2 linked regions of the Ovis aries genome follow. The protein of the gene in region 2 interacts with the protein of the main gene of each other region in a pairwise test. Links are inferred from orthologs where the notes say so. Each region holds a gene or a part of one and is shown on either strand. Other genes may lie near its edges.

Evidence for each region. The genes of interacting proteins can lie anywhere in the genome.
Region 1: the proteins of CBY2 (region 2) and METTL17 interact in binary tests that used the Homo sapiens proteins (3 or more experiments, as listed by UniProt). The link is inferred for Ovis aries from reciprocal best matches to the Homo sapiens genes CBY2 and METTL17.

Annotation. Positions count from the first base shown.
Region 1 is NC_056060.1:24,452,295-24,456,458, reverse strand, and holds the start of METTL17 (methyltransferase-like protein 17, mitochondrial), read left to right. Parts: upstream 1-1,359; 5' UTR 1,360-1,390; coding exon 1,391-1,471; intron 1,472-1,615; coding exon 1,616-1,769; intron 1,770-1,855; coding exon 1,856-1,990; intron 1,991-2,667; coding exon 2,668-2,746; intron 2,747-3,000; coding exon 3,001-3,082; intron 3,083-3,395; coding exon 3,396-3,469; intron 3,470-3,927; coding exon 3,928-4,022; intron 4,023-4,164. UniProt on the Homo sapiens protein: Mitochondrial ribosome (mitoribosome) assembly factor. Binds at the interface of the head and body domains of the mitochondrial small ribosomal subunit (mt-SSU), occluding the mRNA channel and preventing compaction of the head domain towards the body.
Region 2 is NC_056063.1:16,145,748-16,149,999, forward strand, and holds the start of CBY2 (protein chibby homolog 2), read left to right. Parts: upstream 1-1,445; coding exon 1,446-1,499; intron 1,500-4,252.

The DNA of each region.
Region 1 (4,164 bases), on a different chromosome or scaffold from region 2:
TAGATATGAGAAAATGCAAAAATTGGGCTCATAAAAATAATCTCCTGAAAATAAATGGACTTTTCTGGCAGTTTTTCCCAGAGCACAAAGTGCCTCATTCCTGATCTCCACCCTGAAATCCTTTCAGAGGATGCTACAGGTCAGCAGCTACAGCAGGTCATCATTTAATCCTCATAGATGTAGATGGCGGTGGTGGTTTAGTTGCTAAGTCGTGTCTGACTCTTGCAACCCCATGGACAGTAGCCTCCCAGGCTTCTCTGTCCATGGGATTCTCCAGGCAAGAATACTGGAGTGGGTTGCCATTCCCTTCTCCAAGGTATCTTCCCAACCCAGGAATCGAGCCCAGGTCTCCTGCATTGCAGGCAGATTCTTTACCAACTGAGCTACCAGGGAAGCCCCCAGATAGAAAGTACCAATTTGTCATCAGCACTTGACAAATTGGCACTTGCTAACTTGCATTCTATGTACCAATACTACCAGCAGAGCATATGTTTAAAGGTGAAGATCAGACTTAGATTGCCAAGGTTTAGAACTTGTTCTCACCTAACAAGCTCTTGGATCTCAAGCGGAATATTTAGCCACCTGAACTTTCACTTTCCTTGGGTGCAAAATCTATCCTTTAGAAGTATGGGGACTAAATAAGGTAGTACCATATAACAGCGCTTGCCACACTACCTGTCACATAAGGTTCTCATGGTAGCTATTTACCTGGCTTAAAAGTACTGGTTTAATATTAAGAGAAACTAACAAGTAAGAAACATTAAATCTATTATCTATTATTCCATCAATTTGGTCGCCTAAATCTGGCTTCCCTTGATCATCTTCCCATTACTGCAGTCTCTCCTGGAGAAGGAAATGGCAACCCACTCCAGTACTCTTGCCTGGAGAATCCCATGGAGGGAGGAGCCTGGTAGGCTACAGTCCATGGGGTCGCAAAGAGTCGGACACGACTGAGCGACTATACTTTACTCCATTTCACACAGGAGGTAAAAACTCTAAGACTTCAGTGTTCTCCAGAAGGTGAAAGAAAGAACACTGGTAGTTAATACAAACACAAATCCTTCGCCGTCCTGTGACGCGTTTCTGGCGAACCCAGCATAGGGTCAGCCCATACCTACCTAACCCCGCCCCTCCAATTTCTGGAGGCGGAGACAAATCACAACGCAGGGTGGAAGTCACCTAGCTTCCGGCTAGCTACGCTGGAATTGAGGTGCACAAACGGCCTCCAAGGCGATTTACAGATCGATTGTTTATTGGCTACTAGCAAGCACTCGCTCTCCGCATTGGCTGTTACTGCCCGGCGCCAATGTTCGCGCAGGATGTTCGCTGCAGCTAGTGAGAGTGACAGACACTGCACCTAAATTTCCGGTTCCGGTTCACCGCTGGCGCCATGGCGACCGTTAGAGGGTCGCGGTATCTGCTGACAATAGGCAGATGGCGCCGCAGCTTTGGAATAGCGCCCCAGTTCCGAGTGAGTACCTATTTTCCCTGCTTTCAAAAGAAGCTTTGGACCTCAAGAACAGCTCCTCTCCGAGGAGGTGCGCTTTCGGCAGCTCCTCCTTTAGCCTCCCGCAGCCATCCTCTGTGCCCCCTATTAGCTTTCCTTTTTCTGCAGGCGCTTGCTGCCCTCGTGCCCGGCGTATCCCACGTGGATAACAAGTCCGATTTCCTGGGGAAGAGGCCCCATCGCCGGCACCCTGGCATCCTGCAGCTGTCATGCGTGCGGCTGCCGCAAGGATTGGCTGAAGCCGCGCAGTTACTGCTGCTAGGTGAGTAAAGATGGGAAATGGAAGCTCAAGAAGCGAAGATTGGACCCTGCGTACAAGTGATTCCTCTTTGCATCTTTGGTCCATAGAGAGCTCGATGCCCAATATGGAGAAACAGGTGCAAGCCCTAACCAATTATCTCTGGAGCCGGCATTTACCTGTAGAGCCAGAGGAGCTACAAAGACGGGCTGTTCTTCTTGAGAAAAAAATCCTGGAAAACGCAGGTAGGTCTTTTCAAAAATAAAGAGTAAGCCAAATAGAAAGAGCAGAGGGAAATGAAGAGCTAGTAATAATTCTGCAGCCTCTTAAATAGATACTGCGATTTCTTATTTGACTTTCTAATCAGAGTAGTTATTCATAATGTTGCCTTTCTAAAAGAAGAAAAGTAATTTCAGAGATTGCCTATTAAATTCAGGGCTTTAGTAAAGATCAATGAGTTATTCCCTGACTTCTTGTAGTACCTGGTTTGTAGTAGGCACTCCGTAGGTAAAATAGTACTGAAGTGAACACAATTGTAAGACAAGTTTTTCAAGCCCCTTTCCTTCCTATAGGAACTTTGGAGACATCACATTATTAAATTGGGGGGAAGTGAAGAAATCTACAAAGTACTGTCTATCCTATCCTTTAACTTTTTATTACACTTGCTTTTAATACAGAACAAAACCTGTGAGATAGAGTTGGTTGAATTGAATGAATTGCTGTTAGAGGCAATATATTATCTGATATACTATGGTGGTGGTGGTCATTATTATTCTTACCTGAAACTCTTCTCTAGTTTGGCTTCTCTCTTAAGCATTTTCCATGTGGGAATTGGTAGGGAATGGCAGGCAGTAAATTCAGATATTGTATCTGAGCCCTGTTCTTCCTAGGTCCTTACTTCCAGTGCTTGTTCTTACCCCAGACTCATGTCAGACAGAGAAACATCATGAAGAAGTCCTGCGTGCCTTGCGCAGAACTACCTATCATTGGCAAGAATTGAGGTAAGGGAGACTAGAAGGGCTGCAGAAGAAGGAAAAGTTTGGCTTTTGAGAAGGAGAGTTGGGGAAATACAATTACACCATTTAGTGTGTGAAAAGGCAATCTGGTTTATAAGCCTCCCTAAGACTTGTCTGTGTTGATCAGTGAAAGGGTTGAGCTGGAAGAGCCCTTTGCAAAGATTTCATTTCCTAAAAGTCTGGAGGGTAGCTGCAGGATAGAGATTAATTCCCAGTGGTATGTCTGATTTTTCTGGCAGCTACAATGAGGGACTGAGCCTGGTGTATATGGCAGCAAGACTGGATGGTGGCTTTGCAGCAGTTTCCAGAGCTTTCCATGAGGTGAAATTCCCTCAACTTCCAACCAGAAACTTTACTATCAGTTCCCTTTTTCATAAAGTAATCTGGGGCAAGATTCTTGGGACATTACATGTGCATTTTTTTCGAGAGGTTGTCTTTATCCTCTGAAAGGAATTTTTGACCCAAAAAAAGGTTTAGAATCACTGTTCTAAGACCTTTCTATTCTATAAGGCATTTACACTGAATCTTGACATTCACAGCTCATTTCCTCTGTTGCGGTCCCCTAATTCATGTTTACCAAGACCCTAAATAAGTGTCTGTCTTCCCCACTGTGGGGTATTGAATATTTCTTCAGATCCAAGCTCGCCTTCCAGACTTCCAGCCACAAACCTTGATGGACTTTGGCTCGGGTACTGGCTCTGTCACCTGGTGAGTATCTTTCTCTGTCTCTGTCAGTTCCAACTCTAGAGAGTTAGAGCTAGCTTATGCCACGTCAATATCAAGACACTGGAGAACCAAAGGAAGAAGAGAAAATTGGAACTGATGTGTTTCTTCCCTCAGATTAGACAAGGCATGAGAAGGTATATAAATTAGGGTCAGAACTTAAAGAAATGTCAAGTGAAAAAACCCACATTTAGAAGGATAAAAAAGGAAAGGAATTTGATCTCGGACAGGGATTTACATGTCAGCAAGATTTTTGTGTGTGTGTTCATATAGTTTTTGAGTCTTCTTAACAGTTGTAGATGAAACAAGAAAATAAGATTGCTAGTTTTTCCAACTATTTTAACATAGCGCTCTGTTTCCTCAAGGTTGGGTTAGGGACAGAGGGGTCTCTTGTAGGAATAACTTTGTCGTAAGAACTGAAGATTTATTTTTTGCCACTTTAGGGCTGCTCATAGTACTTGGGGTCAGAGCCTACGTGAGTATATGTGCGTGGACAGCTCAGCTGCCATGTTGGAATTGGCAGAAAAGCTGCTGAAAGGTGAGGACAAAATGTAAGGAAGGGCTTTTCCAAAGTTGAAGGCATTTGCAAAGCAAAGGAGTACCAGAAAGGGTCTTTTACTGGGGAGTAGAGGAGAGGCCGGAAAGTTAAAGATGGGTCTGATGCGATGACCCTGTTGAAG
Region 2 (4,252 bases):
AAACAGGGGTCCAGTGTCTGGGCTATTGTGTGTCACACCGACCCTGACCGGCCACGTGGACACAACCAGATGCCTGGCCAGCAGGCCCCTCATTCCCACCTGTGATGCTCAGAGAGAGACCATGAGCCTTGAAAAAGACCGTATTGTTTTGTGATGTCACCTCTGGAATGTTCTGAGTGTTTTGGTGACCAACTTCTGCACAGGACCTATACCTGGCACCTAACGTTGGTATGGCTTTTTCCTTGAGCTAGAAATAGTAATCTTAGGAAAGCTAGTAGCTAAAGACTTTCAGAAGGCTTTGTCATCAACTATATAGACCTGTCTTAATTTCTGTTCAGAGATTGATGAAGCATCTTATCAGATACCATCTTCACATTCTCGTAAGGTACATAATTAACAGGAGGGGAGAAGTGAATAGTAGGAAGTCCTGTTTTGCAGTTGAGCAGCTGAGGCTCAGACGATGGGCTGGAAAACAGAAATCTGCCTATTTTCTCTTTTCCACAGCACTCGAGGCCAAATTTTACAAGAAAAAGAGATACCAGATCTGAAAGCCTAGAAATTCCCATCAATGTGGTTCTACCTCAGGTAGGGATGAACACTGAAGGCTGTAACCTCTCAGTTTTGGCCAGAATAATCCCCCTCTTTCCAAGCTCTAGCAAGATACTGCAGGTCAGTGGTAGCCAGGGCCTCAGATTCTAGCTGAAGGTCAGCTGCCAGCCAGCTGTGTGCCAGGGGCAGTCCACTTAGTCACTTGGAGTCTTGGGTTTCCGGTCAGATGAGAGGGTGGGTTCATTGATCTGGTAAGACCATCCAGCCCGACCACTAGAAGTTTCTGTGACAATCTTTTCAAAATTAGAGCGTTTGGAGCTTCTTTACCACCAGGGGGCACTAGTGGTAAAGAAACCGCCTGCCAATGCAAAAGACGCAAGAGACCCGGGTTCGATCCCTGGGTGGGGAAGATCCCCTGGAGGAGGAAATGGCAACCCACTCCAGAATTCTTGCCTGGAGAATCCCACGGACAGAGGAGCCTAACGGGCTACAGTCCAGAGGGTTGCAGAGTCGGACACGACTGAAGCGACTTAGCACACACCCACATTGTGCACTACTCTGGACTTCTGGGTAGAGGATTAGAACTGAGACTTGGGATCAAGGGCACAGGCCCGAACCCATACACCTGGGACATGGACCGAGGGGTCTGGGCTCCTGTGGAGGGGTCAGGAGAATTAGGGCCTGCCGTGTACCAGGGACAGAGCGTAAGGGGGATGAGCCTGGGGGGGTCAGAATGGAGGCCAGCGCACGGGCGACAGGCTGGACATTCTCAGTTCTCCTTCTGCTAAGCAGCCGTTTCCCGGGAGGGGTCCTCCTGATTGGATTGTTTCTGCTGCTATGTCACAAAGGGGGCAGCCTTGCTTCTCCAGAGTCACCTAAGGCCCTGGGGGAAGATCATGGCGGTGCAACCAGAGGGGCTGAAATGTAGGGTGGAGGAATCCAACGCAGAGGTAACGATCTGAAAGCTCTGTCCAGGGATGTGTGGGGAGAGGGTTGACTCCCCAGTGGGGTCTTGGAGGCATGAAATTAGAGTTCAACCTGCTGCCTGTGCCACACACGGGCAGATGAGCGTCCAGGGTACTCTGGAGGCGCACAAGTCCTGAGTCAGGCTCCAGACCCCTGCCAGGATGGGCTGGGCACACTCTGGGGGAAGCGTGCTCAGTCGCACCCGACTCTTTGCCACCCCGTGGACTGTGGCCCCGCCAGGCTCCTCTGTCCATGGGATTCTCCAGGCAAGAGTACTGGAGTGGGTTGCCATTTCCTTCTCTCTGGGGATAAAGGGGCACCTCTGCGTTTAGATGATCTGAGCGGGCTGTGAGAGGGACCAGTGTGCCGACTGGACCTCCCCAAAGGAGAGGCTGACGGCTGGTGGCAGGGGAAGGGTTGATCTGGGTCACACGGGGAAGAAAGGAGAGTGACTGCGCACTGGATTGGTCACATCGGGGCCCTGGGCCATGCAGAGCGAGGGAGAGATTGCAAAGGACCGGGAACTGGGAACCTCAGCAAGTCCACTAGTAATGGCGGAGCTGGAGTTAGAGGCTTGAAGCCAGGTCAGTGCCCACGTCCTCTGCCACAAGCTGGGCACATGCCGCCTGCTTCTTCCCTGGCTTTTAGGACAGGGTGCCTCCCCACCCCCCATCTTAACTGCCAAGCCCCTGCACGAATCTGCCACATTCTGCTCCGTTCTGGTTCTGAGACTGAGTCCATTTGTTTTGAGAAGAAATTGCAGGAGCAGCTCTGTGTCTCCAGAAAGTGCCTCTGCACCCCCCCAGCTCCCAACCCTGCCTGAACGCTTCTCATTTGCATTGCGAATGTCTGTGATTCTCTATTTGTTATCACCCTTAGGTCTTTTCGGGTCTTATTGATTTCCAGTTTTCCTTCCTCACAGTAAATATTTGTGTTTTCTAATCTGTTTCTCTCCAGGGCATTAACTTGCCAGCCTTCCCTAGTTACTTCCTTCCCAAGTTCTCTGCACGCCGCCCCTCCACCTCCCTTGCCCCCCCCCCCCCCCTTGCCCCCCCCACCTCCCTTGCCCCCGCCCCCCCCCCATTCCTTTTCTACCTACCGGTTCTCCCCAGCACTCCCATTTTCCCAGTGAGCACTCTCTGTGAATCTCATAAAGGCACTGTTTCCTGCGAGATTGTTAATGAAGGCTCCTCACCAGGTCAGAATAGGGTCCCATCACCCCTCCAGGGCCCCGCCTTGTCCCTCTCTGTTGCCTTTTTTCAATCCCCTTTGTTTGGGTTTGTTCTTTGGAAGCTATGGAATCTGTGGCCGACAATGCCTGTAGCTCTGCCAGTTTGAAAAAGTGTTAGGAGGATTTCGGAAGATTCTGTGTTAAACAATTAGCTAAAACTACCACATACGATGAGAGAGGACATCTTTAGCCTCTTTGCTGTTAGTATTAGGATTCTATCCAAATCAATTACATTGACCTGCAAATTATCCTCTTATCTGTTAGCGTTTATTAAAACCAACATTGACTTTCTCATGGCACTTGGGAGCGGAGTTGATTTAAGCATATGCTCGTGATACTCAGCCTTGTCACCTGGTCTGAAAATTAGTGGCAGATCTGGAGAATCCTAGGGACAGAGGAGCCTGGTGGGCTGCCATCTATGGGGTTGCACAGAGTTGGACACGACTGAAGTGACTTAGCAGCAGTAGCAGCAGCAGCAGCTGCCTTTCCTTCCAGCATATTCTGGGTCTCAGCTTCCCCAGGCTTGAAACGTAACCCCAGAGGGCTGAATATTCTCTGACCATAACCCTCAGTAATGCTGGCAAAAGCAGGGCTTTAAAAACACTTGGTCAACAGACTTGGAGTCTGCTGAGGGCATTTGGACGTCTCTTCTGGTCTGTGGAAGTGCAGAGAATCTCAGTGCCTGGCAACTAAACTGGCAAGTCACTGTCCAGTTCTGTTCCCCAACGCTTCAGATGGGAGGCCAGCAACCTCAAAAGCTCCATCCCCGAAGGTCCTATTCCTTAGATACCCCTTAGCTTCAGAAAGATGCTTTGGTCTTATTACCTCCCCTCTGCCCTTAGCCCTACCCCCGTTTCTAGCCACCATCCCTCCTGTGTGGGCTCCATTTGCCACACAAAAGGCTGGTGATCTGACCGAAGCATGCAGTTGGTTATCTCATACACTTTCCTTCCAGTACCACGTGTATTTTAAAAACGGATGCTGGGGAGAAGGATGAAGAGTGAAGAGTGAAAGTGTTAGTCGCTCAGTCACGTTTGCTACTCGGCAGCCCCACGGACTGTAGCCCGCCAGGCTCCTCTGTCCATGGGATTGTCCGGGCAAGACTACTGGAGTGGGCTGCCATTCCCTTCTCCAGGGGATCTTCCGGACCCAGGGATGGAACCAGGGTCTCCTGCATTGCAGGCAGACTGAGCCACCAGGGAGGCCCAGGGCTGATGCTGAGGATGGAGCTCAGCCACAGGTGGGATTCAGGCATCTGAGCGGGAGCTCTCGGGACCCAGGGCCCTTCCTGCGTCCTTAGCACTGATGCAGCTTCTTTAGGTCACAGCCGGGAGCACTTTGCTCCCGAGAGCAGCATCTCTGGGTCACCTTCCTAACAAAGCCACGGCCACACGTCTCCCCTCCTGCTTCCTTCCTGTATCCCGTTCTTCCATGAAGAAGCCCCCCGCTTCTCCTCTCCCACCTATGAGGGCATGTCCTACATGTCAAGGAAGAAACTGTCCTTTC